Canis lupus familiaris: one gene and its partners. The protein of the gene in region 2 interacts with the protein of the main gene of each other region in a pairwise test. Links are inferred from orthologs where the notes say so. Each region holds a gene or a part of one and is shown on either strand. Other genes may lie near its edges.

Region 1 (4,164 bases), on a different chromosome or scaffold from region 2:
GTCAGGCCGGAGCTGGCTCCTTAGGCTGCTCAGAGCAGGATGTGCAGAGGAGAGCACTGGAGCCTGGGGTGGAGGTGGTGGAGGTGCGGGGGGGGGGGGGGGGGGGGGGGGGGGGGCCAGAGCAGGGAGGAGCCACCTGGCTGCAGCCCCAGTCCCATCTGTCTCCACAACCCTGGAAGCCCTGGTTTCTGTACTGCCCCAGCCCCTACCCCTGCCCCTACCCCTGCCCCAGCTCCACCCCCTGCCCCTGCCCCAGCCCCAGCCCTTACCTGTGCCCCGCCCCAGCTCCTGTCCCTGCCCCACTTCTGCCCCTGCCCCTGCCCCAGCTCCTGCCCCTGCCCAGCCCTTACCCCTGCCCCTGCCCCTGCCCCAGCTCCTGCCAAGCTCTTCCTGGCAGCCATTATTTCCTCTTTCCCCAGATAGGGCTGTGCAGCAAAAAGAATCCCTCCGTCCCTTTCCTGGTCTGGTATCAGCCCACCCTGCCCCCATCCTGAGTGCCTGAGATAAGCCCCATCTCTCTGTGCACCCTCCCATGTCCTCTCCCTGCCCCCGCCCCAGCCCTTGCCCCTGCCCCTGTCCTGCCCCTGCCCCTGCCCTAGCCCCTGCGCCAGCCCCTGCGCCAGCCCCTGCCCCTGCCTCTGCCCCAGCCCCTGCCCCTGCCCCAGCCCCAGCCCCAGCCCCGGCCCCGGCTCCTGCCCCTGCTCTTGCCCCAGCCCCTGCCCCTGCCCCTGCCCCTGCCCCTGCCCTGCTGCCAAAAGCATACACTGTCAAAATGCTGACAGCCAGAACTCGCCTGTCCTCCGACCCATCCTGTGCTGGGCACTGCCCAGCGACCTTGCTGTGTCTTCACCCATTGCACCCCCTGGCACCCCCGGAGGTGATCTGTCCCAGCCCTCATTTCACTGAGCCCCTGGACGTTCCCTGCTCCATCCCCAGGATCCTCTCTACAGCTGAAGAGAACCACCCATCTCTCTCGTACCCCCCACGTAACCCCCACCTCGAGTTTCTTTCTCCTTCCTGCCTGTTCTCACACACTCCTCCCTGTCCCTGTGCCCACTCAGGTCCTGGCAATCCTCTCAGCGGTTAACCCCCTACAGTGGACTCAAATGCAACCATTTCTTGCAGGAAGGGGCCCGTAGCTTTGGGGAGCATTACTAAGGCATTTAGGACCCCAGAGATTGGGGAGAAGAGCTGGAGCGGGTGTGTGGGCAGGACAGCCTGGTGGCTCAGGGCGCAGGTCTGTAGGAGGACCACCTATCCTCTAAAGCTGCCTCGTGGGCACCTGGGTGGCTCAGTGGTTGAGCATCTGCCTTCAGCTCAGGTTGTGATCTCAGGGTCCTGGGATCGAGTCCCACCTCGGGCTCCCTGCATGGAACCTGCTTCTCCCTCTGCCTATGTCCCTGCCTCTCTCTGTGTTTCTCATGAATAAATAAATAAAATCTTTAAAAAATAAATAATACATAAAGCTACCTCGTGAGGCTTTGTCACCCGAGAGGATGCCTGCGTAGTGAGAGCTAGGGCCTACTTGAGCGGTTACCCCATGCCAGGCACTGGTCTCAGCTCTTCACTCATAGAATCTTCGCCGCTCAATGATGTTGGCACCGTGGTCACCCCACGTTGCTGCCACGGCCTTGTAACCCCTGCTCACTCAGCTTAGTGCTGTCTGCTTCACCCAGGGCCCAGAGTCCCTAGCTCTGAAACCTCTTCCCATGGAATGCACCAAGTCCCCCCGGCTGTGAGGGCTCTGTTACTCCCCATCCCCAGGGCCTGTCCAGGCGTCCCCGGCACAGGGGAGACCTAAGGGTGATCTCAGCTGCACCCCAGCCCCAGGACAAACTTTCCAGCCTGGCTCTCCTGCAGTGCAGGCTGCCCTCACCTTCCCTTCCCGGCCCAGGCTGCTGTTGGAAGGGGCCCTGAGCTGCTCCCGAAGGGACTGTAGTTGGTGTGAGGACTTGGAGATGATGACAGCCTGCAGATGGGGGCTCTGCACACCCCTCTAGGCTCCCTCCCTGCCCTGCAGGTCCCAACACCAGTGCGATGGCCGGTTCCACCGTCCGCGCTCTGCTGGCCTCTCCATGACGGTGGCCATCAAGCCCACGCAGAATGACTCCCCCATGTCCCTGGAATTTCCTACCCAACTCCCCACTTTATAGCTTCCCCAGGAAGCCACCATCCCCTTTCCTGAGAAGCTCCAGGACCCACACTCCTCAATCCCTAGATACCCCAAGTCCACCCCGCCACCCACGCATCCACTCTGATACCCTCAATCTGGCCCTGATCCACCTGGATACCCCCGTCCACCCAGGCACCCCTCTCCAACGCTGTCCACCCAGATACGCCCAACCCAGATGCTTCTGGTCCACTCTGACACCCGCGATCCACCCAGGCACCCCGCTTCCACATGTGGACCTTACCCTCGTCCCAGCTCACTCACCCAGTCCCCTCAAGGCAGAATGATCAGGGTCAGGGGGACCCCCGATCAGGCCAATGGAAGATGCTTTGTCTAATCTCCTGCCTCCTGCTCCTTGCCCCCCCCTCCCCGGAAAAATCCTTGCAAGGAGGAAGTTCTAGTTAGTGTCTTTAACAGAGATCAGTGGGAAAGCTGGAGTGGTTTGGGGGCAGAGCCAAGAGGGTGTTGGAGGGAGGGGACCCCAGCCGCTCACCTGTGTGGCTCCCCAGAAGGCTTGGAAAGTTCTGGGAGAGAAGGGAGGGAATGCAGCTGCTAAGCCTGAGTCCTGCCTTTATCCGCAGCTGCCACGCCCTAGGCAAACCTGGGCAGGTAGAGAACAAGTCGGACTCCCTAAAGCTCTGGGGCTCTCTCACCCCATTCCTGCTCTTAAAGAGACAGCTCCCACATCCTTCTTCCCAGCCAGGGTGCTCCCTGAGGTCCCCAAGGTCACAGCAGCCTCAGGTAGGCGGAGGGGGCATACGATGGGCTGGATTCTGCTCCTCACATCAGGACAGGGGGCTTTCTTCAATGTCTCGCCCCCGTGGAAGGGACCTGGAAGGAAGAAGGTTGAGGTCTCCAACAGCAAAGCTTCTGTCTGGAAGAATGGTGGGGGGAAGGCGAGGCACTGGGGTGATAATCTCATGTCTATCACTTAGATTGTGTGCTACACTTGGTCCAGGAGGGCTTGGTGGCAGTTTCAGGATATCTGAAGTCCCTTTCCAGATCGCCTGTTGCTTCCGACCCCTTGAGGGTCAGCAGATGATGCTGATAGGACCAAGGTCATGAGGTGGAAGGTGGTGACAGGAGTGGAAGGTGGGCGCCTTCGGGCTTTAGACTATGACCTCGCTCCCAAGTGCCCAACGTGCCCTGGAGAGATTGGGAACTGGTTTCTGAGCATCGGCAGACCTTCCTAGCTCGGGCTCTTCCCGAGGGTGCTGGGAGCCAGATGCCTGGGTCCAGGCCGAGGGCGTTGGGGTGGAGGCTGCCTCCCACTCCGGATAAGGCCATTGCTCAGTGGTGCAAGGCCCCCTCCCTCCCTCACCCCTCCTGCCCCTCCTCCTCATGGCATTCTTTCTGGCTGGGGTCTGTGTAGGCCCCCACATGGTCCTCGTTGGGGTGCCCCCTCCCCCTAATTCTGCCTTTTTAGACAGAGGGACTTTTGTCTGGGGGCTGGATGGAGAACAAGGCGCCTTTGAGTGGCTGGCGGAGGATTGGGGTCATGGGGAGGGGCAGGGCCAGGAAAGGGGTGGCTCTGCACTGGCCACCAGCTGGACTCCAGGCGACCCCCAACACCATCTCGGGGCAGGGGAGGAGGGCTGCAGGAGCCAGGCCAGGGAGAGTGCGGAGTACAGGATGGGGAAAGGGAGTTTCCGAGGTCAAGACTCTGCTGGGGGTTGTCTGCTGGGGGTTGTCCGCAGGGCAAGGGAGAAAGGACCCCCCCACTTCCTAGCAGGAAGGGCTGGGGAAGCAAGGAAGGCAAGCCCAGATACATGCTTTCTTTATGTGGCTCCCTCAGGCAGTTTTTCAATCCCAGGCCTTAGACTAGGACAAGGCCTCCCCCGCCCTGCTCCCATCAAGAAGTCCCTACAAGGAGTGGAGGGGGCACTCGGGGTGAGAGGCTCCATCAAAGTGGGAGGTTCAGGGGGAGACAGAAACAGTCAAGGGAGGCCTGGAGGGGATGATCCCAGTGCAGCTAAGGGGGTCTTTTGTCTCGG
Region 2 (4,280 bases):
CCTCTACTACCAGGTGGCAGCCTTGTGCTTCGTTCTGGTGCTGGGCTCACTTGTGCCCTGCCTCCCTGAGTTCTCCTCCAGCTCCCAGACTGTGAAGGAAGACCCCATGGCCACTGACAGCGTCTACACAGCCAGTCAGAGTGAGTGCCTCCTGAGCCAGGCTACCTTCCCTCAGTCTCAACTTCGGGGCAAAAGCCAGATAAAAGAGAGGAGGCCGGCTTCCAGGTTGGCAACATCTCATTCGACCTCTTCATTTTGCAAATGGAGAAACAGGCCCTAAAGGGTCTGTGATTTATTCAATGTTCATTGTGGAATTGGGACCACAATGCAGGCTTCCCGATCCCAGCCCACCCAAGAGTGGCCTGCGGGGGTGGGGGTGGTTTAGGGGATAGTGGGAATGTTCCCACCCTGCCCTTTCCCACCGCCCCACCCCCAGGAATTACAGTAGCTGTGGTTATGGGCATCTGCTAGAAACGATTAGTATTTCACACCTGGGACAACAAATGAGTTGAGGTTCCAGCGCCCTACCCAATAAGCTGGTGGTGACTGTCCGAAGCACCGTGTAAGGAGAGCCAGGATCCACTGGTAGTGTCAGGCGTGTGCAGAGGAGGGGCAGTTGTGGTTGCAGGCTCAGACCTTTACCATCCCCTGGGTGACTGTGAGGTACGGTGCTTAAAGAGCATTGGGCCTCAGAGTTGGTCATGCCTGCCATCACCACTTGCTGACTGCGGGACCTTGGGCACATGTCTTGAGCTCCCTATGCTTTAAATGTCTTCATCCAAAAAACAGGAGTTACAGTTCTGCACTCACTGAGCGTGGTTGTCATCACAACTAAATGGCATGATGCACATACACTCTTAGCACAGGGTTCAGTACACAGCAGGCGCTTACTAAAGGAGCACATTCCCTCCCTTTTTGAAGACCTCACAAGAGGAGAGAAGAGAGAGACAATATGTGGGCGGCAAGGAGAGAACTGGTAGAGGGTGCGGCAAAGAATAGTATGGATTTCCAGAGGCAGAAGGGACTTCAGGTAGACCTACAGAGGAACTTCCTCCCTGGGAAGGAATTGTCTGGCAGGGCAGGAGGAGGAAAAGGAAACGGATGGGAGGTCAAAGAGGGAGGAGACAGCAGGAATAGGACTCAGGAGGGATAGGCAGGGAGAATGAGCTAGACCAGCAGGGCCTTCAGAGGTGGAAGGGGTGGGGAGGGTTAGAGGAAAAGGAAGTGGAGGCGTTGAGTGGTTGACTGAAAGCCACTCCCAGGACATGTGTGGCCAGAGACTCTTCTTCAGGACAGTTGCTGAGGGAGGTGGGGTGCAGGGGGTGTGAGGCCTTGAGAGTCATGAATTCATTCTCCAAAGCCAGAGAGGCCCTCTTCCGGTGAATTTGGAGGAAGAGAGGGATGTGGAAGGTGGAGGCCATGTTGATGGATGAAGCCAGAGTCTGAGGAAGTGAGGGGATGAATGAGCTCCTTGGAGTGAGTGCAGTGGGTTGCAGACTCCCAGTGTGCACCTGTGGTAGGACTTGGCTTCTAGAGCTGGCTGGCTTTCAGAGCAGGTACATTGCTCAGTTGCAGGGAGTGCCCTTTACACAGACTCTTAGGTCATGGCCTGAGGGCAGGAAGGTGGTGGTAGATCCTGGAGCCAGACGGACCTGGGTTTGCCTCTGGCTTCCAGCGTAAGCCCAAGTATCTGATAAGCTGGAAACTCAGTTACCTGTTCTATAAAACAGAGCTAAAAATATCTCCTTCCCAGGACTTTCAGTGAGATATGAGTGATTTGATATGCAGGTCAAAGGGCTTTGCACAATGCCACGCACAAAGGAGATATCCAACAGATGTGTTTTCTTTTCCTTCATTTTCCAGAAGGACACACTAGGGCCTAGAATGGGAAAGGGGGTGGGCAAACTCCTGGGTGGCTCAGTGGTTAAGCGTCTGCCTTCGGCTCAGGGCGTGATTCTGGAGTTCTGAGATAGAGTCCCACATTGGGCTCCCCACATGGAGCCTGCTTCTCCCTCTGCCTATGTCTTTGCCTCCCTATCTTTCTGTGTCTCTCATGAATAAATAAATAAAATCTTAAAAAAAAAAAAAAGAATGGGAAAGGGGGTGCCTGGGTGGCTCAGGGGGGTTAAGCCTCTGCCTAGCTGTTCCCTCCCACCCCCCCTTTACTCCCCCAAGACTCCTTGCTCACCGGGAAATCTGCTTCTCCACCCCCCCCCCTTGTGCTCTCTCTTTCAAAGAAATAAAATCTTCACCAAAAAAATTTAAAAATAAAAGGGAAGAGATTGATTCAAGTTCTCACAGAAAGTGAGTTAGTAGAAGCAGGATCAGAACCCAACTCTCAGATGCCCACCCTGGTACCCAGTGCTTAGGAAGAACTACTTTCTCCAAGTTCTTCCCTAAACAATTTTCAATCACTTTCCCCAGATTGTCTCATTAAACCACATTTCTATGAGGTTGGCCCTAGTATCCCTATTTTACAGATGAGCAAACTAAGGCTCAGAAAGGTTAAAGCAAAGGCCTGACTCACCTGAGGTCATACCAATTGGAAATGTTAGAACTGGGGCTCAACAAACTCAGGCCTGTAAAGTTGCAGGGCCCTCATCCCTCACTGTTGGGCTGGGAATGTGGCTGGGAGCAGGGAGCCTCTGCACTGAAGCTCACCATGAGTTCTCTGTCCAGTGCCCTCCCGGAGCCTCCTGTTCTATGACGAGGGGGCAGGCTCGTGGGAGGATGGCCGCGGTGCCCTGCTGCCTGTGGAGCCCCCAGATGGCTGGGAAATCAACCCCGGGGGGCCGGCGGAGCAGCGGCCCCAGGACCACCTGCAGCATGACCACCTGGACAGCACCCACGAGACCACCAAGTACCTGAGTGAGGCCTGGCCAAAAGACATCGGTGGAAACGGCACCAGCCCCGACTTCTCTCACCCCAAGGAGTGGTTCCGTGAGAGGTAAGTGGTTGGCCCTTTGCCATCCCAGGGTCCCAGGCTCCACCCACATTCTGCTCCAGCATGCAGAGAGGTGAGAAGCTCCTCACTGGACAGACTCACCCCAGACTTCTGTTCTCTTTCCAGGGATCTGGGCCCCAATACCACCATCAAACTCTCCTAGGCCGCGCCAAGACCCAGGACACAGGACCTACCCTCTGGCACCCAGAAGAGGGATTGTCTTGCTCTCTAACCCGGATCCAGCTTGTACCCCTGTCCCCTGGGCTCCCACCCCAGGAGAAAGGGTTCCACTTCTCCCCAGCCCTATCTTTGCCCCAATCTTTACCAGGGCCCCTCCTTTCCCCACCACATTTGGACTGTTCCCTTGGGCCGACCACTCTGTTCTCACCCCTCCCTCCCACAGTCATCCGTCCTTCTCAGATAAACCACTCACTGGGCTAACCCCCTCCTTTCTCATCATGACCAACACGACCACTGCCTGCCCGCCCCCTCCCCGCAAACACACCCACCAACATACCGACACACCCCCCCACCCCCGCCCCACTGTACAGAGACCAAGAACAGAAATTGTTTGTAAATAATGAACCTTATTTTTTATTATTGCCAATCCCCTAAGATATTGTATTTTACAAGTCTCCATCCTCCCTTCACCCCTCCCTTGTTTTATATTTTATAAAGTTAGTGCGGGCTTTGCTGTTCCCGGGCCCTCATCTGGCCTCCCCCTGCCGCCGCCCAAGCCGCCAGGCCTTTTTAATTGCCAGACTGCTTCATCCATCAGCTCAGCACATGCTTTAAGAAGGCAAAAGTAAAAAAAAAAAAAAAAGATGCAGCATCAATTCCTGACTTTGTGCCTTTCTTCATGGAGGGGGGTGACCAGGACCTGGGGATAGGCAGTGAAAAGGGGAAGTTGATTTTATGTCCTGCCAGGGGTTCATTGGAGAGGGCAGGGGTGAAAGGCATTTCTCCCAGGCTCCCTCTTCCCTCTGGGCGCAGGATTCAAACTAGACAAAGGATTCTGCTGTAATGTCCCCACCCCGCGGCCCCTCCTCCTGCGCTGCCTATGGAGGTAGAGAGGCCTGGCAGCCAGTCTTGGCCTTTGGGGATGCCACCTGCAAGCATCAAGCACCTGCTATGGACCAGACCCTGGGCCAGACACCTTCCGGGCAGTACCCAGCTTGGTCCTCCTGAGACCCACCGCATTTCAGCTCTTGTATCCTCGGCCTCAGCTGGGTCAAAAGTACAGACTTCACGGCAGGAAGAGCTGTGCTCGACTGCTGGGACTGCCACTTACTAGCTGTGTGTGGTAGGCATCCAAGCTTCCTGCCCCCCAGGCTCC
Region 3 (3,931 bases), on a different chromosome or scaffold from region 2:
AATATTATTACTGTGATTATGTTAAACAAAGGAAAAAACCTCAACTTTACAGATACATCCTAAAATATTTACAGATAAAATAATATTTGATAGGATGTCTGGAATTTGTTTCAAAATATTTGGTAGGGGGAAGTGGACTGGCATAGGCATGACATAAATTTGTTCAAATTTAATCATTGTTTAAACTGGGTGATGGGTATATAGGAGTTTACTATACTACTCTAACTACTTTGAAACATGGAAAATGTCTCTAATTTTCCATACAGTGTTTAAACAAATTTTAGGTGATTCTAATGTGCAAACAGGGTTGAGAACCACTGACCTAGTCCACTGAAGAGGACTGGCATTTGAAGCAATGTTGACCCCACTGCCACTGTTTCTATGAGTCACTTTGATGATTTAGTATTTTCAATTTCGAATTTGAAAGCTACAAACTATTAACATGCCCGGCTTTGGAAGAAAGCCCTTCCACATATGACATGACATTTCCGTGGCAGGCCTGAGTGCAGCTGACTAGCAGAAAGACCATTTACTCCAAGTTAAATTGTCAGCAAAATCATTATGAAAAGAGGCAAAACAATGAGAACTACAGTTTGAAAATATTTAAGTAAAACAATGAAGGAAGAAGTAAAGAGACTAGATTGAGAACTATAAAATTTTACATGTATAAGAGACCTTAGGAATTATCTGAACCAATTTTCTTACTCACAAATGGCAAGACTGGGGTTAGGGAAGGAAGGAACCAAAATAGGCTCCATTTCAGATGGAGCAACCTGGCTTTTATTCAGCACACCAATTATTGCAGTCAGAGTTTGACAAATACACTGTACTTAAATCCTGAGTCATTGACATAGGAAAAGGGTAAAATTAGGAGGTGGATCACCTTGAGAAAGCTTCTAAGGAAATTCAAAATGACTGGCTAGATGGCCCAAATGCTGAGAAAGAAGTTCTAAAGTGGGAGAAGGAAGAAAGGAATGGAGACGAAACCCCAAGATGGTGCTTTTAACCACCTTCACTTCTTTTTCTGTAGTTATGTTTTCAACTGGGATTCAAGAAAATAAACAGAATCCAAATTTCATGTGCTACCAATGGGGCAAATCATTTCTTTACTCCCTAAAACCCCAATTTGGTGAAAGGTTTGAAGTGATAAAAAAAAAAAAAACATCAAACACACCTGAATCTCCTCAATCCCTCCATTTTTTCTACTTCCTCCCACTCGGACTGCCTGGAGGGATTATTGTTATTTCATGCTGACAGCTCTAAATGGGACTAGAAATATTCGGATGGTAATCCCATTGCAGTCAACTCCATCTAATCTACGGGTGGGCACAAGTTGCCGCTTTTCTGGAAGTCCTTGGATTTGAGAGCAAGGTCTGCCTGCCCGGCAGCTGCGGGTTGTCCGTTTTCAGCGATGGTAACATCACGAATTCCTACTGGAAGAGGAGAAATCCTGGATCGTTTGCTCTCCCAGTTGACCAGTAGCTGGGTGTGAAGAAGGAAGCACCTCAGCCAACCGCAATATAAAGGATGAGATGAACAACTGAGCAGTCAGCCAAAGGAAGTCCTGTACTGATCTCCAAGACGAGGAGAAAGTATCAAATAGGCAAGTGGCTGCTGCTCACAATCCTGCCAAAGGGGAAGAGGATCCGAAGTGCTGGGTTCTTAGAGGAGCAAAAATGATACTGATACCTACAGGTTATCAGAAAAAAAGAAATTCGTTTGCCTACCTCAGGGTAAACCTGAGAAACTGTCTCAGATGATCAGCCACTCAGGCAACCTACCGTCTTTGAAGTTTTCTACCAGGGTCTATAGGGTTTACAACCCATAAACTCATCACTACTCTCCAAGAGGGCTCCTGCCTGTTCGGAAAACCGGGGATGGGTGTGTGTGTGTGTGTGGCGTTGTGGGGGGGGGGGGGGGACGACTCTACAGTCCCCATCGTAAAAATATGGCCAGCAGGTCAGGCGAACGACAGAAACCCCGCCTCTATAGTATTTCGAGGCAGCGCCGCAGGCGTCAGTTACCCTCCAACATCTCCGTCCCCCCCCCCCCCCCCCCCTCCCCAGCCCCATCCCTTTAATTCAGAAAACCGTAACGTAGGTCGGTGGGATGAGGAGGAGCCCGGAAGGGGAGGGGGGCTGGGCCGCCGGGGCGCGCGCGGGGAGACTCACCTTGGGGTCCGGCAGGCTGAAGACGCTGGGGTCGTCCGTACTCCCCACCATGATCTTGTGCTCCTTGCCCGGCGCGTGGCCGCCGGCGCCCTCGGCGCGAGAAGCCTTGGCGCCGTGGCGCTCGCCAGCCACCCGGTCGCTGGTGGTGTTTCCCATGGCTGTAGCTCGAGTCGGGGGCCACCTGCCGGGGCGAACCACGCGGGGCTTTAACACCCGGCGGCCGCGTCAGGGACGCCCCCCGCTCCGCCCCTGCGCCTGGGGACCCGGGCCAGGGAATCCCCGCCCCAGGGAAGCCGTGCCCGGGGTCCCCTCCTTCCTCGGCCTCCGGCAGCGCCCGCGGCCCCCCACCCCCCACCCGCCACCCGCCACCCGCCTCTCGACGCCCGCCGCTGGGGAAACCCGCTTCGGGGAACTCCCCGCATCCCCGCGTTCACTGCCCGGGGGAGCCCCCACCCCAGTCACCTCCCGCGATGCTCTTCCTCCTCCCCTAGCCACTCGCGAGATGGCTGTTCTGCGGTTACGTCCACCAATAAAGTTATTGAAATTGAAGCCGCGCCCCGGGCTGGAGATCCGGGTTTCCTCCTAAAATGGCTACGAGGCCAGGGGCGCCAGGCCCGCCCCGCGCGCGTTCCCTACGGCCGCGCGGCGACGGCTCCCGAGCTCGCGGCCTCTCTAGCCGCCGCCGCCGCCGCCTCGGTGGTGGGCAGCCTCTCGCGCCAGGCGGGGGCGCCCGCTCCGCGTTGGCCTCGGGCTGGGCGGGGCGGGGCGGGGCGCGGGCTCCGCCCACCCGACCCAGAAACCCTGGCGCGGTCAGCCGCGGGCCGGCCTTCCGGAGCAGACGGGCTCCAGGGACCGCAGGGCCGCCTCCCGGCCTCAGGCGCTCCGTACCCGGAGAAGCGGCGCTGCCTCCTTGCCGCCCGCCTCACCGGGCTTCAGGTTAAACAGAACGTTCTCTGGGCAACCCGGACAGGTGGGTTCCTCCAGGGATTTAGAAACAGAATTTCCTCCTGGAATCAGAAGGAAGTAGTGGCGACTGCTTGAGGTACCTTCCAGCTGGCTGCGGTGGGGAGCAGCCTCGACTGGGGCCCCAGTGAGGAAGGAGTAATTAGGCGAGAAACCTTGACAGATGCGTGAAACTGGTCTGAAGAGGAGGAGAAAGCTATTCTGAGCTAAGAAACCGCGAATGCAACGAGCAACCCCAAAAGAAATGCCATTTGAGGAAGACCAACAAGAAGAGAAGGAACAGTGAGAGCAGAAAAGGACAGAGATTGTCCTCGGGTTGGAACGGATCTAGGTTTTTGCTGATGATTAATGGAACGTGTATGGTATTTACTAATTCATTCTTTGTGTTATAATTATGTGCTTTTCCGATTCCCTAGCGGAAACCGTTATCACTCAATGTGTGTGACACAGACCAGCAGCTTTGCCATCACCTGGGAGCTGGCTAGAAGTGTAGAATCTGAGGCTCTATCCTACAGGATCAGAATCTGCATTTTAACAAGATCCTCAGGGGAATGTGTATACATATTAAAGTGTCAAGCACTGCTTTGAAGGCTGGCAGAGAGCAAGTCTAGTTTTGATTCCTCTTCCTGTTCTGCATGCATCTTGTCCGGAGTAAGCTTTTAATAAATATTTGCACAGTGAAGGGTATAATACCGTTTACTACATTTCTAACAAGATAATACCACTTAAACAAACAGCGATGGGGGAATGCCACGTCGTACAAGGCCACCCTTTTTGAATGAACAGCTTTATTTTGT
Region 4 (2,295 bases), on a different chromosome or scaffold from region 2:
TTGTAAAATTTAAATACACTGAATTACAAGGGAACTTGTATACTACTGGCACATAGCTCAGCACATGCTCAAAGTTTTCTTTCCAACTTGTTTTCTGGTTCTTAATTTTAAGCCAGAAGATCCTTCTTCATTTAGTTCTAGGGAGTCAGGAGGTAACTTCCAAAAAGGAACCACCCTAGAGCCCCTCCATTTAATTATAATTTTGGTTGATGTGGGATCTGAGACTGGTATAAAATTGTATCTAATCCTTGGAATGTATGTATATTCCTTACCAGCTTTGGAGAAAAAGCTACAAAGATAAAAAGAAATGATAATAACCCCAAATGGATCCTATGACAATTTAAAAAGGCACTTGAAAGCCACCAAATGCTAAAAGAGAAAGAATCCGGAGATTTATAGCAGCAAGACAAGCAACCAACATTTCCATATCTTCTTCTAATACCCAAGCAACTCTCAAATAGAGAATATAGATTGAGAAAGCTGTGGCCAAGACTCTGAAGTGAAAGTCGGTCCTCTGATTGTTTATTGCTTTACTAGAGCAGAGGGAAGTGACACCCATTGTCTGTACATATTCTGTGGCACCATATGCAAACTGGTCAACAACCAGTACCTGGGTAACTCTTCCAACTCATCCCATTAAAATAATCTTTTGAACTTTGAGTGCCTTTCCTTCCCAAATGATCCCACCCTTTTAACAAAGAATCTTGTGTATTCTCAAAAGGACAAGAGTCTTCAGTCTACTGGACAGAAGAAACCAAAGTGTTCCTTTTCCCAAAATCCATTTACTGATGTCTTGATTGAAAATCTACTGGAAGCAGGTCACTGTTACCATTACCTTTTCAAAACATATTGAAAACCTGAGGAACAGGTGCTAAGACCACACTATCCCTCTGAAGATGGTGAGAATCATCTCGGCAGGGCCAATTTTGCAACCCCATTTCTGGAAGCCAGGACTCAAGGGATTTGTCTTAGTCATGAATGGATATTTCTCCAATCTTAAGGCATGAAGGCTGTCAAAATAAGGTTCCGAAGAGTACCTTTCTGCTCATCAGTGACCTCAGAAGTGAAGGACAGAATGGTTTGGTCTTCCTGAGTAGTGCTCAGTAGGACCGCAGCGGTTTGGCATAGATTGGCTCCAGGATATGATGAATGAGAACCAAAAACAGGCCTCCAAGGAAGACAGCAGTGAGGAAAGCCAGCAGGACATAGCGGCCAATGAAAAAGGAATCCACAATCTGTAGAAGGAAACATCAAAAATGAAATTACTATCACTTCAGCACCCTGCTTGTGCTCATCTGAAATCTTTGATGAGTGGGCCCAAAGTCCATTTCTATTTGTGACTTCCAGTAACATCCTGCTCTGAATCTCCTCTGTAAATGACTAAGAAAGAACCTTAACACCCTGAGCTGGAAATATGAGATAAAGATAAGATTAATGAAGGACAGGGAAAAAAAATGGCTCAATTTAGAAGGAGGCTCATAAACACTGCAAAGACCTTGGATGAGCTCTTTTATGTTCTGAAATCAGTTATCTGAAAGAGTTCATGAGAAACTTGCTTGCTTGGTCTTAGAAAAGCTCATTTTTGATGTTAACTTTTCTATTATGAATATTTTACTTTTTAAAAAGATTTTATTTATTTATTCATGAGAGACACATAGAGAGAGGCAGAAACATCACCAGAGGGAGAAGTAGGCTCACTGCGGGGAGCCCGATGCAGGACTCAATCCTGGGACCTCAGGATCATGCCCTGAGCTAAAGGCAGATGCTCAACCACTGAGCCACCCAGACGTCCCTATTATGGAGAATTTTAAACATATAAAAATATAACAGCGTAATAACCTCCATATATGCAAGATCAAGCCCCCAAATCATGAACCCATTCATTGCTGATTCAGGAGAGTTCATTTTCAAAATGGAAAAGTGATTCTTTAAAACTTTCATCAGAAGGGTCCTGAACCCTGACATTCATAATCCAGTGCTCCAAGGCTTAGGTTAAATGACCATTTGACTGAGGCACTGAAATGTTGAAAGGATAGATAACGTGCCCCAAATCATACAGTTGGGTGCCTGCACTCATACTTGAGGCTCCAATGCTGTTGGTCTTTGCGGACCAAACCTATACTTAGAGTTGGCTCTGCCCACCTGCCTACTGTCTGCTGCCAGAGCTCTACTCTTCCCAGATCCAATGAGTGGTGCTTAAATCAGGGCAGGAAAAAGCAATTTAATCTATGAACCTAATGGAACTGGAACATGAACCAAGTGACAGGATGACTTCACAGCTTCAAAAGGGAAGGG
Region 5 (4,172 bases), on a different chromosome or scaffold from region 2:
AGGACCTGGTGGGAGCACGTGGTGCGGGACAAACAGTCCCTTCTGCCACAGAGACAGAAGGCAGGTAGCATATGTGTGCTGAGGTGCAAGCTTGTTTCTGCAGGAAGGTTTCAGATTTGCCCCAAGGGGTGGTCACAGAGGCAACTCAAGCCCCTGGAATCTCTGTTCACACCACCTGCTCCAGAGACTGTCTCACCCTGATTGTGGAGCAAGGGTCTTGCTGGGCAACTGGAGAGGGTACCTGTCCCCAGGGCAACAAGATATAGAAGACCCAGGAGCCTCAGGCAGTCCCCACCCATTTCAGCAAAGGGGCAATGCCACAGCTCTCGGTTTAAACTGGAGACAGTCTTGGAGACTAGAACTACAAATGCCTTTTGCTAATAAGCCCACCTTCAGCCTCAAACTCTCCGGCTGCCCACACACCAGAAACTACTGAGGTGGGTGCAGGTGAGGATGAGCAAATCCAATCAATGACCAGTTAAAAGTGTTTATTTTTAAATGGAAAGGGGAGAGGGAGTAACACAGAGGCAACTTGTGGCATCTTCTTTCCAGGCCATCACCCCCATGTACTCTCCAACCCAAAGCACTGGCAGGAGGGGCCCCAGGACAGGCTGAGGCCCAGACAGTTGCAAAGTCTGTCACGGAGAGATCTGTATACCACCCCGGAGAGGTGGGATTCGAGAGTCCTTCCCAGTCCCCCTTGTCCTGGAACCGGGCTAGAGCTCAGGGGCATAGGGCTCCCCGGTGGGTGAGGGTACCCGCAGCTCAGCATTGTGCCTGACCACGGTGAAGAGTCCCACCACTGCCAGCAGAGCCATCACCATGACGGCAGAGCAGATGCTGAACATGTTCCGAGTGCCCGTTTTGTGATCACTGTCATGGAGAACTAGGAGCCCCAGGCAGGCCAGCAAGTGCAGGGGCACCCGGAACCAGTTGAGTACACCAGCTTGCTCTGTCTCGGGGATCACCTTTCTCCGCAGGAAGCTCATGCTGGGAAAGTACAGCCCACAGGCCAATTCGATAAGGAGAAAGGCTATGAAGGACTCCACTGGACTCTCCTGGCCTGGGCTGGTGGAGAAAGTCAACATGAAAAGGGAGAAGACAACGATGAGGACAGCAAGGGAGAGTAGGTGCATGGGCTGAAGGTGGTACCTCTTGGAGGTAGCAATGCGGTACAGCGAAGAGCCAAGCAGGCTGGCTGCCATGAAGCTGGAGAAGACAATGCCCAGCGGAGCCCCATGTGGGTCCAGCACAGGCGTCCAGAGGAAGACAAAAATGAAGATGACGCTCTCAAACAGGGCTTGTATGGTGCCTAGCAGCAGCACGCGGCGGTCCGACAGGAGGCAGCGCAGGCCTCCAGCACAAGTCCTTGAGAAGGCACGCTGCCGATCATAGTTCTCTCCCCAGTTATGAAGGGCCAAGGCCCCAGCCAGAGCCAAGAGAGGGATGGCAGCCACAAAGGGCGCCACGGGCCCCAGCCCCATCCAGCAGGCCACCGCTTCAGCTGCCACACCTGCCGCTACAGCCAGCACATGGTTCCAGAAGGCAGCTCGGGCAAAGGTAGCTGGGATCCACTCAGCAGGGAAGTCATGACGCTCCACGTGTTCATGGACGTACCAGGCCTCGAAGGCGGAGAAGAGCAGCGCTGTGGACAGCCCTCCGAGGGCTCGGCCCATCAGCAGCACAAAGTAATCCCAAGAGAGTTTCGTTAGGCAGCAGAGAGAGTAAGTGAGGGAGAAGAGGACACAGGACTTCTTGCGACCCAGCCAATCCACAAGGGAGGAGGCCACCAGTCCAAAAAGGACTGTGGAGGCAAGGCCACAGACATAGAGGATGGCAATCTGCCCCTCCAGGAAGTGGTAATGCTGATAGAGTTTGTAGAGGTAGGGGGCCTGGAGCCAGTCAGCCGCCAGGGCCAGGAAGTAGACCTGATAGAAGTCCAGTTGAAACCGGAGGAAGGAGGGGTTGCTGCAGGCCCTTCCAGGGGGCTTAGCCCGGCATCTTGACAGCTCCAACCCCAGGCAGGAGGCCAGGAGGACCACAAAAGCAAGATAGGCAGTCACCAGCATGGCGGGCCCCCGGACGACCTAGGTAGGGGAGGAAGGGGGGGTGGGAGTTACATCCATTGCCCGGGCAGCACTGCCAAGGGGCGGGTGTCCACGCAGAAGCAGCTGCACCCACCCCCCACCCGACCCCACCCCCGCCACCTGCACTTCCCCGCCGCTCAGCTCCACTCCCCCGGAGCTCGGACCGGAGGGACCAGTTGGGTGGGTGGGAGGAGCGGCCCGCCAGGCCGGGTCTCCCGGGACACTGCGGGGCAGGGCGGGGCGAGGGGAGAAGGAGCATCCGCCCCACCCTCGCCCGGCGCAGCAAAGAGGGGGTCCCCTCGACACGGCGACGGCGGCCGCGCGGGTGGAGGGGCTGCTGCCCTCGCCCAGCTCGGCCTCCGCAGGCGCGTCACCCCCACGCTCTCCGGGCCGCTGCACTGGGCCCCCGAGCGTCCCGCCCGCGCCGGCCTCCAGGGCCGCTCCAGGGTCCCGCGCGCGCACCCCGGGCCCGGGCCCCCCCGCCGCGCCCCCGAGCCCCAGCCCGGCGCCCCCGCGCCGCCACGCCTGCTCGCGCCTCGCCCCAACCGCGGCTCACCTGCTGCCCCGGGCTGCGGGGACGCCGCGGACGCGTCCGGCTCCAGGCCGCCCCGCCGCCCAGCCCGCTCGACGTCCGGCTCCGGCTCGGGCTCGGGTTCCAGCAGCGCGCCCGCCCCTCACAGCCCGCTTCCGGGAGCCGGGGAGGCCTCTGGCCGCCGCCATGATGGCCCCGTCACGTGACGGGGTGAGGCGCCCAGGCCCCGCCCCCGGCCCGCCCAGGCCCCGCCCCCGCGCTCCAGGCCCCGCCCCCGGCTCCCGGAGGCCGCCGAGCAGGGCGGTGGCGGCGGCGGCAGCTGGCCCTCCCCGCGGCCTTCCCGTGACAGCCGCTCCTCCGACTCCCGGGTACCTGCGGCGCCGCCTCCACATAAAGACCCACTTCCTCTCTCTCCTCCGTCGCAGGGCAGTGCCGCAGTCCTGCCGACGCGCGGGCTGCCCTCCGCGGGCCGGTCCCGCGGTAGCGCCCTGGGCCCCGACGTGGTGCGGCGCAGACACCTGAGGGAGGCGGTGTGGGTCAAGGGCCTGGGGACTGGGGACGCAGCCGGCCGAGGCCCCAACCCCAGATCCGTCACTTAGTGTCCCAATTTCTTTGCCTGCTGTCAGGGGGGAGCAGTGCCCGAGGAAAAAGGGCGAAGGGTCAGCCCACCTCTCGCCCCTTACCAGCCGTGCTCCCCTGGAAAGGTTCTTTCCCTTGTGCTCCAGATTTAAGAGTGGCTCGACGGCTTCTCACCTCACTGAGCATGGAAGCCCAGGCCTTCGTGATGACCTAGAAACCCTCTGTGTCGGGTTCCTCTGCCACTTCTCTGACTTTATCTACAATTCTCCCTCCAGACTCTTTTTTTTTTTTTTAAAGATTTATTTATTTATTCATGAGAGACACAGACTGAGAGAGAGGCAGAGACACAGGCAGAGGGAGAAGCAGGCTCCATGCAGGGAGCCCAACATGGGACCCAATCCTGGATCCCGGGATCATGGCCTGAGCCAAAGGCAGGCGCCCAACCACTGAGCAACCCAGGCATCCCTCTCTCCAGACTCTTCCTACTCCATCTGTATTGGGGACCTCCAGGGCCTTTGCACACTGTGCCCTGCAAGGTTCTTCTCCCAAAGACCCACATGATTCCCTCCTTCAGCCCCTCGGGTTTCCTGTTCCAAGGCTGCCTTATCAGAGAGGCCTTCCCGGGCCATCCTGTTGAAAACAGCAACACGGCCACCTCCACTAGAGATCTACCTGCTGTCCTTCCAGCCTCATTCCCCTTTGCTGTCTTTTCTCCATAGCACTTAACACCATCTGGCACATTATGTATTTTATTTATTTATTATCTCTTCTCCCTAAAGGTTTTTATCTATTTGTTCACTTGTGTTTCCAGTACTTAAAACAGTTACTGGGGTGGGGAGTGGGGTCTGGGGAGGCACCTTGCTGGCTCAGTCAGAAAAGCATTTGCCTCTTGGTCTTGGGGGTGGGGTGGAAGTGGGAGTTCTAACCCCATGTTGGGTGTAGACATCACTAAAAAAAAGAAATGAAGTTGAAGA
Region 6 (3,956 bases), on a different chromosome or scaffold from region 2:
GTGTGACTGTTCTCAGCCTGACCCTTTGGCCCTGGCCTGCTGCAGATATTTGGGGGCAGAAATCTCTTGAGCCTTGAGCTCCATGTGTAGTAGGGGTGAGGCTAGAGGGAGGGAAGCTGCATAGTCTCCTCCAGGGCTGGCTCTTCCGGGGGAGGTGAATGTGTCACTTGGCCAAGCCACAGGTACTTCGTTGCAGGAAGAGGGCGAGGGCTGGCAGCTCCCTGGGAGGTGTGGCCCCTTTCTTCCTGAAGGGCAGTCACAGTGCCTGGGGCCACAATACTTGAGGGACCCAGGAACACGTCTTAATTTCTTTTAAAATTAGAAGAAAAAGAAGCAATCCAGCCCAGATTATATTTGTTTTTATATCGAAGCAGTGGAAGGAGGGAGGGGCTCACAAAAGCCCACCTGGCAGGAGGGTAGCTCGGATGGGAGGCTCCAAGCTTCGATCGTTGGGCAGAAGAAGCTGTAGGTCACCGTTGTCCTCCAAGTACCAAGTTTGGCAACTTGGACTCCTGTAGGCTGAGGGGCCCTGCCTGGCCCAGTCAGCCCGAGGTGGCCAGGACAGACCCTGGGCGGCAGTTAGAAGGCGGCACCCGCAGACTCAGAGGAGGTGAGGGATCCAAGGCCCGGGGCTGGACGTGCTGTGCCCATCAGGGTGCGTCTGGGACTGGAGGTCACCTCCGGGCTGTGCTGGCTGCAGTCCCGGCTCAGTGAGAGCCCAGCGTCTGCACGGCGCCCTGCCTGCATTGCCCTGCGGCGTCCTCACCCGGCCCACGATCTTGTGCCCATTTTACAGATGAGGAGATGGAGGCAGAACCAGTCACAAAGTGGCTGAGCCAGGACTACGAGTCCAGCCGGCCTTGTGCCCCAGGGCGCCAGGTAAAGGGGGGGGGGGCGGGAGGGCGGGGGGCGCGGCGGGGGGGCTCCTCCGGCGATGGGGGGGCCACAGCTACTGGGTGCGAGGCCTTTCGGGGCTTTGCTGTCAGGCGACGTAATTCCCCTCTCTGAGGTCGGTTCCCGCTGCCCCAATTTTCCGACGGGAAAGGTGAGGCTCAAGAAGAGAAGCGACCTGCCAGCGACACAGCGGGGACGCGGCCGGGGCGGGGCGGGCGGGGCCGGGGCGGGGCCTCGCGGCAGGGGCGGGGCGGGGCGGGGCGGGGCGGGCGGGGCAGGGACCTGGGCCACCACCCCGCGCCGCGCAGTGCCTTCCCGGAGCGCGTCCTGGTCGCTGGTGAGTGGGGCCCGGGCGCCGAGGGGCAGCGGGCGGGCGGCCCCGCGCAGGGCCGATCCCCGACAGCGCCCGCCCGCCGCCGCGCCGCCGGAGGGTAAACTGAGGCAGGAGGGGATAGGCCGGGCCCCAGGGCGCGACTGCGGGGCGGCACTAGGGGCTCAGCCGCCGGGACGGCGGGCGGCCGGGGTTGTGACCTCCGCAGTCGGGGCTCCTGCGCGGCGGGATTCCGCCCGGCTAGCGGGGATCGAGGGGAGCGGGGGGTTGGGGGCACTTGGGCAGCCCGGCCCCGCCCCGCCCCGCCCTCCGCGCCCCGCCCCCGCGCCCCGCCCCCGGCTCGGGTCTGGCGGGAAGCGGAGCCCCCGGGAGGGCCCCGACAGGCTCCCGGCGCGGTCCGGTTCCGCAGAGGGGCCAGCCGGGGCGGGAGTGGCCGGGCGGGGTGCCGCGGGGATCGAAGCGCCTGGCGGTCCACTTGAAACGCTCCATCCTAGACGCGGAAACCCGGGCCCCTGGGGGTGTTTGCACGCAGCCACGTCGGGCCCCAGCGGGCCTGAGAGCCGGGCCCCAAGATTCCCGGTCGGTGCCCGGACAGGGGCCTGGGGTGGGCAGAAGGGCCCCAGGGACCCGCCTGTCCGCAGTGCCCCCTGCAGGGGAGCTCGGAGCCGTCGGCAGGGGTGAGCGCGCCGCGGGTTTGGGGTCCACCCGGCGGCTGGCCTGCCCGGCGCAGCGCCCCCTCCGGTCCCGGTCCCGGTCCCGGTCCCGGCCCGCGCTCTGCAGCGGAGGGCAGGGGCGCCGGGCTGGGGCCTCCCCTAGGGACAGGACAGTTGACCGAGGCGGTTCCCAAAGGGTCACGGGGCCTGGGGAGGATGGCAGAGGGGCTGCGTCCGGAAGGGCGCCAGGGTGCCGGCCTCCCGCGGGCCGTTGACCCAAAGCCTCAGCTGGCAGATTGGGCCTGGAGCTGCGGCGCCCCGCAGGGGAGGTGGGTGGGGAGCCCTGTGCGGCGGGGGACACGGCAGGGGACACGTCTGCTTCGTGGAGCCCGAGGTTTGCCCGCTGCCTTGAAAGGCACGAAGGAGCTCGGGGCGGGGGATAGCGCCTCCCGCGGGGGTCCCCGGCTCCGGCTGCTCAGCGGACCCAAAAGGAGGCGCAGAGGGAGTCCTTTGAACTAAAGGAAACTGAGGCTCACCCAGGAGCCCCTGGGCAGGCACATCGTGGCAGCGCTGGAGCTGGGGTTCAAACCAGTACCGTTCAAGGCCTTGCTTTGTACACTGTGTCCTTCTGTGCGTGTGTGTGCACACGTGCGTGCATTTGGGGCCCACATTTGTGCCTGGCAGTGACCGAATCGTAGCTGGATCTGCCGGAAACCACTGATGGCAGCGGGTTGCTGGGGGGGTTGGTGCTTGGAGGGAGGGAGCCTCCTTTTTCCTAACTACACTTTCGCCATTTTCATTAGTTTATTTTGGAATCTGTGTTCCTTTGATTTGTACTTTCTTCTGATTGTACAAGCCACGCCTGAATATGCCCTTTGTGTTTACAAAAGTAGTCATTCTCCATGGAGCACATTTCCCCTGTCACTCCCAGCCCTCCTGGTCACCAGCTGGATGTGGATCCTCCCCAACTTGTCTGTTGTGCTTTCATAATGAAAAAGATTCACGAAGGTTGTAATGCGGAAGATTAGCTGTAAGTCACGTTAGAAAAGGAAGGAACCTTAAAACAAGTCCCAGGACAGCGGTGGCGCGTGAGCGACAAGGTGGAGGAGGGCGGGGCGCCACCGGGAGGAGGAGGAGGGCTCTCAAAAGCAACACTATTCTGTTTCTGGGGAGCAGTTCCTGCCACCTTCTGTAGGAAGGCCTCGGGGAACAAGAGGACGCCCCAGAGACTCTCTAGCTCAGCCCCCACTTCACAGATGGGGACAGAGAGGCCTGGGAGGTGAGATCTCAGGGCCAGAAATGGGGAGCAGGAGCGAAGCATCTTAAGGACAAGAGTTCCCTGAGTCCCACTCTTGGGGCGACAGGGAGGATTCACATCCTGTAACTGCTGCTCCTGCCTGGGAGGGGGTCTCATGCTCTGGGGGGGCTGCAACACTAGCGCTGGGGCTGGAGGGAGTGAGCCTGTTGGCTCCGAGATAGTCTTCTACACTGGGCAGAGAGTGGGACCCCTGAGGTAGGATGGGAGCCCCCTGCGGCCCCCCAGGCCTTGCGCAGGCCTTACCTGCCATGTTGGGATGAGAAGGAGGTGACACAAGGTAAGTGACCATGTGGCCCAAGGCTGAGGCCAGCAGACTCCCAGCTCAGGGGAGGGGGTGCTCTGGGCCTCAGAGTCACACAGACCTAGAAAATTCTGGGACTCCCTGTGCCTCAGTTTCCTTATCTGGATGGTGGGAATAGTAATGTCCACTATGGAGGCCAGGAGGGTGTGGCTCAGGGCCCCCAGGAGAGAGGCAGCTGGTTGCCCCCCCACCCGTAGCTGCTGTGAAGAGTAAGTGAAGTAATGAGCATCAGGATGAGCCACCAAGCACCACGTCCATCACTTGTTCCCCAGAGATCTAGAACCTTCTCCTGACCCCAGGTCCTGAGCCCTCTGCTTTGACCCTTCTCGGTGGTTTTGGAAGTGCTCCTCTGTGAGTGGCCCCAGGCCTGTGGGTGGAGCGTTCTGTTTAGCCTTTTGCCCCACTTAGCATCCAGTGTCTGACTGGCAATGTCTTCTCAGACTTGGGTCTATGCCCCGG
Region 7 (2,658 bases), on a different chromosome or scaffold from region 2:
AAACACATAAAAAACCAACTCTGATTTTTAAAATTAAAGGCCATGGGTAGGAATTTGTATGGTACTAGCCATTCCATTGTAGAAGAACTCAAATGACCCACTCACCTCAGCTGTTTTGCAGATGGACAGAAGGTTGGAGCCACACACTTTGCCTGGGAAAGCATTCCATGGGAGAACACCTGAGTAAGACATACAAGTTTACCAGGGTGAGCTTCAAGAAGTTGTGGGCTCCATGGAGATTTTCTTTGAGAGCCCTTCTTCCATCTTTAATCATCTTGGCTGAAAAGTGGGATCCTACTAACAATCGGGATCCTCTTTTATAAAGATTTGCAAAGAAGAAGCAAGAGGAGGAGGAGGAAGAGGAGGAAGAGGAGGAGGAGGAGGAGGAGGAGGAACTGAACAGTTGTGTAATCTTGTGTTTGTTATTGAAATGTACTGCTTCTCAACCAGGCTAGAGCAGTGTGGACAGCCAAGAAAACTCCTACCACTTCCAAGAGAAGTTCCATACCAAGGGAAGAAATCTCTCCAATTTCAGTGGGGAGGGATTAACAAAGTAAGATCCAGGCATCCATAATATTTTTCTCTATAGTTATCACCCTTGTCATCCTAAGAAACAAATATATAGTGCTTTCATAGGAGGTAGGGAAGGTAAGGCCCCAATACCCTAACTCACCATACATTCTGGCATCAGCACAGAGACTGCCTATACTGGCAGAAGTCTTGCTGGGGAAGGCAATTGACTGGCAGGTGGTCCAGGTATTGAAGTAAATGTACACAGGCACAGCAGAGCAGGCAAACACCAGGAGCCACACAATGGTCAAGGCATAGGTGATGCCCACAAACTAAAACAATTGACATGGAGTGGTTAGAAATCAGCATTGGCCTGTAGACATTGAAACACAAACTGGGAGATCCTGGAGTGGTGTGTGCCAGATATGAAACCAGGTTCCAGGGATCTCCACCAAATGAAATTAGTAATTAGGACACCACTGCCAAATGTCATTGGCAGTATCTACTAGAAAACTGGCCCCAAGTGTGATGGAGGGTGGGGGGAATGGGTGGGGGTTGGAGTGAGGAGGATCCCTGGGTTAGAGAGGCTTCAGGAGATTTTGTTTTGGGCAGATAAGATGTAAAGAAATCAAAACAGATCTTGAAAGAAAGTCGTGCCATTTCTTGCCTTAAGCTGAGCTTAGAAAATGTTCCTTGGCATAGGGGACAGTCACTGAGCAAAGCCAATAGGAGGTTTAAATTTCAGATCCCAAAACCATTCTAAGCCAACTGCTGGCCACAAAAAATATCACCATAACCCACAGATATTCAATCCCCAGAAGATCTTAACTCTAGAGACTGAAAAGCAATGTATGCCTCACCAGAAGCATGGATAACCCTCAGACAAAGATGAAGCATTAAATATGTAGATCCATGCTAGTTTCCTCTGGGACCTCCAACAGTGCAGAATCCCAGAATATTGTGAATTCCACCTTGGAGTGGAATTACTTAATCTCCATGATCTACCCTCCCTCTCAGATCAGGTGCCTGCATTTCAATCCCATGAGTAGCATTTAGGCTCTTAGGTGGTCAAATCTAATTTTGTTGTGGTCCTTGCTAAGAGGAAAGTAAAGGAATACCAACAGATGGCTTAGAAATAGTCTGATTTTATGAAGTGTTCACAAAACTTATGCTTTTAATTTTTTGAGATGAAATTTTCTAGGGAACTTTTGAAAGGTGAGGCTAAGCCAGCTGGGCACCACGTTCTTCCTGACCTTCTCGTTCGGCTGTAGCCATCACTTCCTCACTCAAAAGCCAGGCCCCTAGAGAGGACCCAGCCTTGGGTGGGGATGAGGCCACAGACTCACGCCCAATTGTCCCCCACCCCTTGTTATTGCCACAAAATCCTGAGGATGATCACCTTGTCGGGATGTCCTAGCCATTTTCCCAAACAATGACACACCCGCTCCAAAGAATGAGCTTGATGTTGGCCTCTGGAACCCCTCCCCTTCTGGCCCCCTGTTACCGTTGCGCTCAGGCCCTTGCCGCAGATGGTGGTCTTGTAGTCGCCAAAGATCTGCCTGACTGCACCGGTGGTGTAGAAGCCCTCAGCCAGCAGGAGGGCCCCATAAAGGAAGAAGAAAGAGGCAGTTCCATAGATGACATACTGGAAGGCATGGATCCTGCATTAACAGATAAACAAAAGATATCAGGAAATCATACTAATTGAGGACAGTTCCCTTCCTGCATAAGTAAGGTGGACACTTGAGTGAGCACCCAAATGAGGCTAGGGATTCTTTAGAGGAATCGCTAGGTTCCTCCGCTCCTTGCTTACCCTGTGACCTAAAGAACTGAGGTCCTATTCTCCTTGGCCTGACCCCTCAGAGATGTTCCCTCAGAGAAGAAAGAAGAAAGAAGCTACACCAGGAGGAAGAGGAATGAAGGAATAGGGGCCTAATGTGCTAGGAACACAAAAGTCTCAGTATGGAGTCTGAGCAGACTCAAATGGTATGTCAAACCAAGAGCAGCAGCCCCAATCTGTCTAGTCATTGTACCTTCCTTGAATTCTCCATACCTATCACTGCAGAGGCTCCAACTCAGTCAATGTTACCCTATGGGCAGAAGTTAGAACATGTGGTACTAAGTAAGTGTAGTGGGAGGCAGGCAGTG

Evidence for each region.
Region 1: the proteins of CREB3L1 (region 2) and FXYD3 interact in binary tests that used the Homo sapiens proteins (3 or more experiments, as listed by UniProt). The two-hybrid records come from large-scale screens. The link is inferred for Canis lupus familiaris from reciprocal best matches to the Homo sapiens genes CREB3L1 and FXYD3.
Region 3: the proteins of CREB3L1 (region 2) and PRKAB2 interact in binary tests that used the Homo sapiens proteins (3 or more experiments, as listed by UniProt). The link is inferred for Canis lupus familiaris from reciprocal best matches to the Homo sapiens genes CREB3L1 and PRKAB2.
Region 4: the proteins of CREB3L1 (region 2) and TMEM218 interact in binary tests that used the Homo sapiens proteins (3 or more experiments, as listed by UniProt). The link is inferred for Canis lupus familiaris from reciprocal best matches to the Homo sapiens genes CREB3L1 and TMEM218.
Region 5: the proteins of CREB3L1 (region 2) and MFSD5 interact in binary tests that used the Homo sapiens proteins (3 or more experiments, as listed by UniProt). The two-hybrid records come from large-scale screens. The link is inferred for Canis lupus familiaris from reciprocal best matches to the Homo sapiens genes CREB3L1 and SLC61A1.
Region 6: the proteins of CREB3L1 (region 2) and TSPO interact in binary tests that used the Homo sapiens proteins (3 or more experiments, as listed by UniProt). The two-hybrid records come from large-scale screens. The link is inferred for Canis lupus familiaris from reciprocal best matches to the Homo sapiens genes CREB3L1 and TSPO.
Region 7: the proteins of CREB3L1 (region 2) and PLP1 interact in binary tests that used the Homo sapiens proteins (3 or more experiments, as listed by UniProt). The two-hybrid records come from large-scale screens. The link is inferred for Canis lupus familiaris from reciprocal best matches to the Homo sapiens genes CREB3L1 and PLP1.

What each region holds. Positions count from the first base shown.
Region 1 is NC_049222.1:118,298,803-118,302,966, forward strand, and holds the start of FXYD3 (FXYD domain-containing ion transport regulator 3), read right to left. Parts: upstream 2,801-4,164; 5' UTR 2,664-2,800; intron 2,580-2,663; exon of another isoform or gene 2,435-2,579; intron 1,290-2,434; exon of another isoform or gene 1,283-1,289; intron 1-1,282. UniProt on the Homo sapiens protein: Associates with and regulates the activity of the sodium/potassium-transporting ATPase (NKA) which transports Na(+) out of the cell and K(+) into the cell.
Region 2 is NC_049239.1:43,564,038-43,568,317, reverse strand, and holds the end of CREB3L1 (cyclic AMP-responsive element-binding protein 3-like protein 1), read left to right. Parts: intron 1-13; coding exon 14-140; intron 141-2,679; coding exon 2,680-2,947; intron 2,948-3,070; coding exon 3,071-3,107; 3' UTR 3,108-3,780; downstream 3,781-4,280.
Region 3 is NC_049238.1:58,294,633-58,298,563, forward strand, and holds the start of PRKAB2 (5'-AMP-activated protein kinase subunit beta-2), read right to left. Parts: upstream 2,801-3,931; 5' UTR 2,634-2,800; intron 2,629-2,633; exon of another isoform or gene 2,545-2,628; intron 2,353-2,544; 5' UTR 2,328-2,352; coding exon 2,172-2,327; intron 1-2,171. UniProt on the Homo sapiens protein: Non-catalytic subunit of AMP-activated protein kinase (AMPK), an energy sensor protein kinase that plays a key role in regulating cellular energy metabolism.
Region 4 is NC_049226.1:9,394,753-9,397,047, reverse strand, and holds the end of TMEM218 (transmembrane protein 218), read right to left. Parts: intron 1,236-2,295; coding exon 1,101-1,235; 3' UTR 501-1,100; downstream 1-500. UniProt on the Homo sapiens protein: May be involved in ciliary biogenesis or function.
Region 5 is NC_049248.1:44,704,825-44,708,996, reverse strand, and holds MFSD5 (molybdate-anion transporter), read right to left. Parts: upstream 2,801-4,172; 5' UTR 2,761-2,800; coding exon of another isoform or gene 2,225-2,760; intron 2,088-2,224; 5' UTR 2,070-2,087; coding exon 717-2,069; 3' UTR 472-716; downstream 1-471. Other genes in the region: translation initiation factor IF-2-like, read right to left, coding at 2,225-2,760, 2,892-3,137. UniProt on the Homo sapiens protein: Mediates high-affinity intracellular uptake of the rare oligo-element molybdenum.
Region 6 is NC_049231.1:23,355,149-23,359,104, reverse strand, and holds the start of TSPO (translocator protein), read left to right. Parts: upstream 1-1,156; 5' UTR 1,157-1,231; intron 1,232-3,956. UniProt on the Homo sapiens protein: Can bind protoporphyrin IX and may play a role in the transport of porphyrins and heme. Promotes the transport of cholesterol across mitochondrial membranes and may play a role in lipid metabolism, but its precise physiological role is controversial.
Region 7 is NC_049260.1:77,751,107-77,753,764, reverse strand, and holds part of PLP1 (myelin proteolipid protein), read right to left. Parts: intron 2,172-2,658; coding exon 1,910-2,171; intron 843-1,909; coding exon 674-842; intron 180-673; coding exon 106-179; intron 1-105.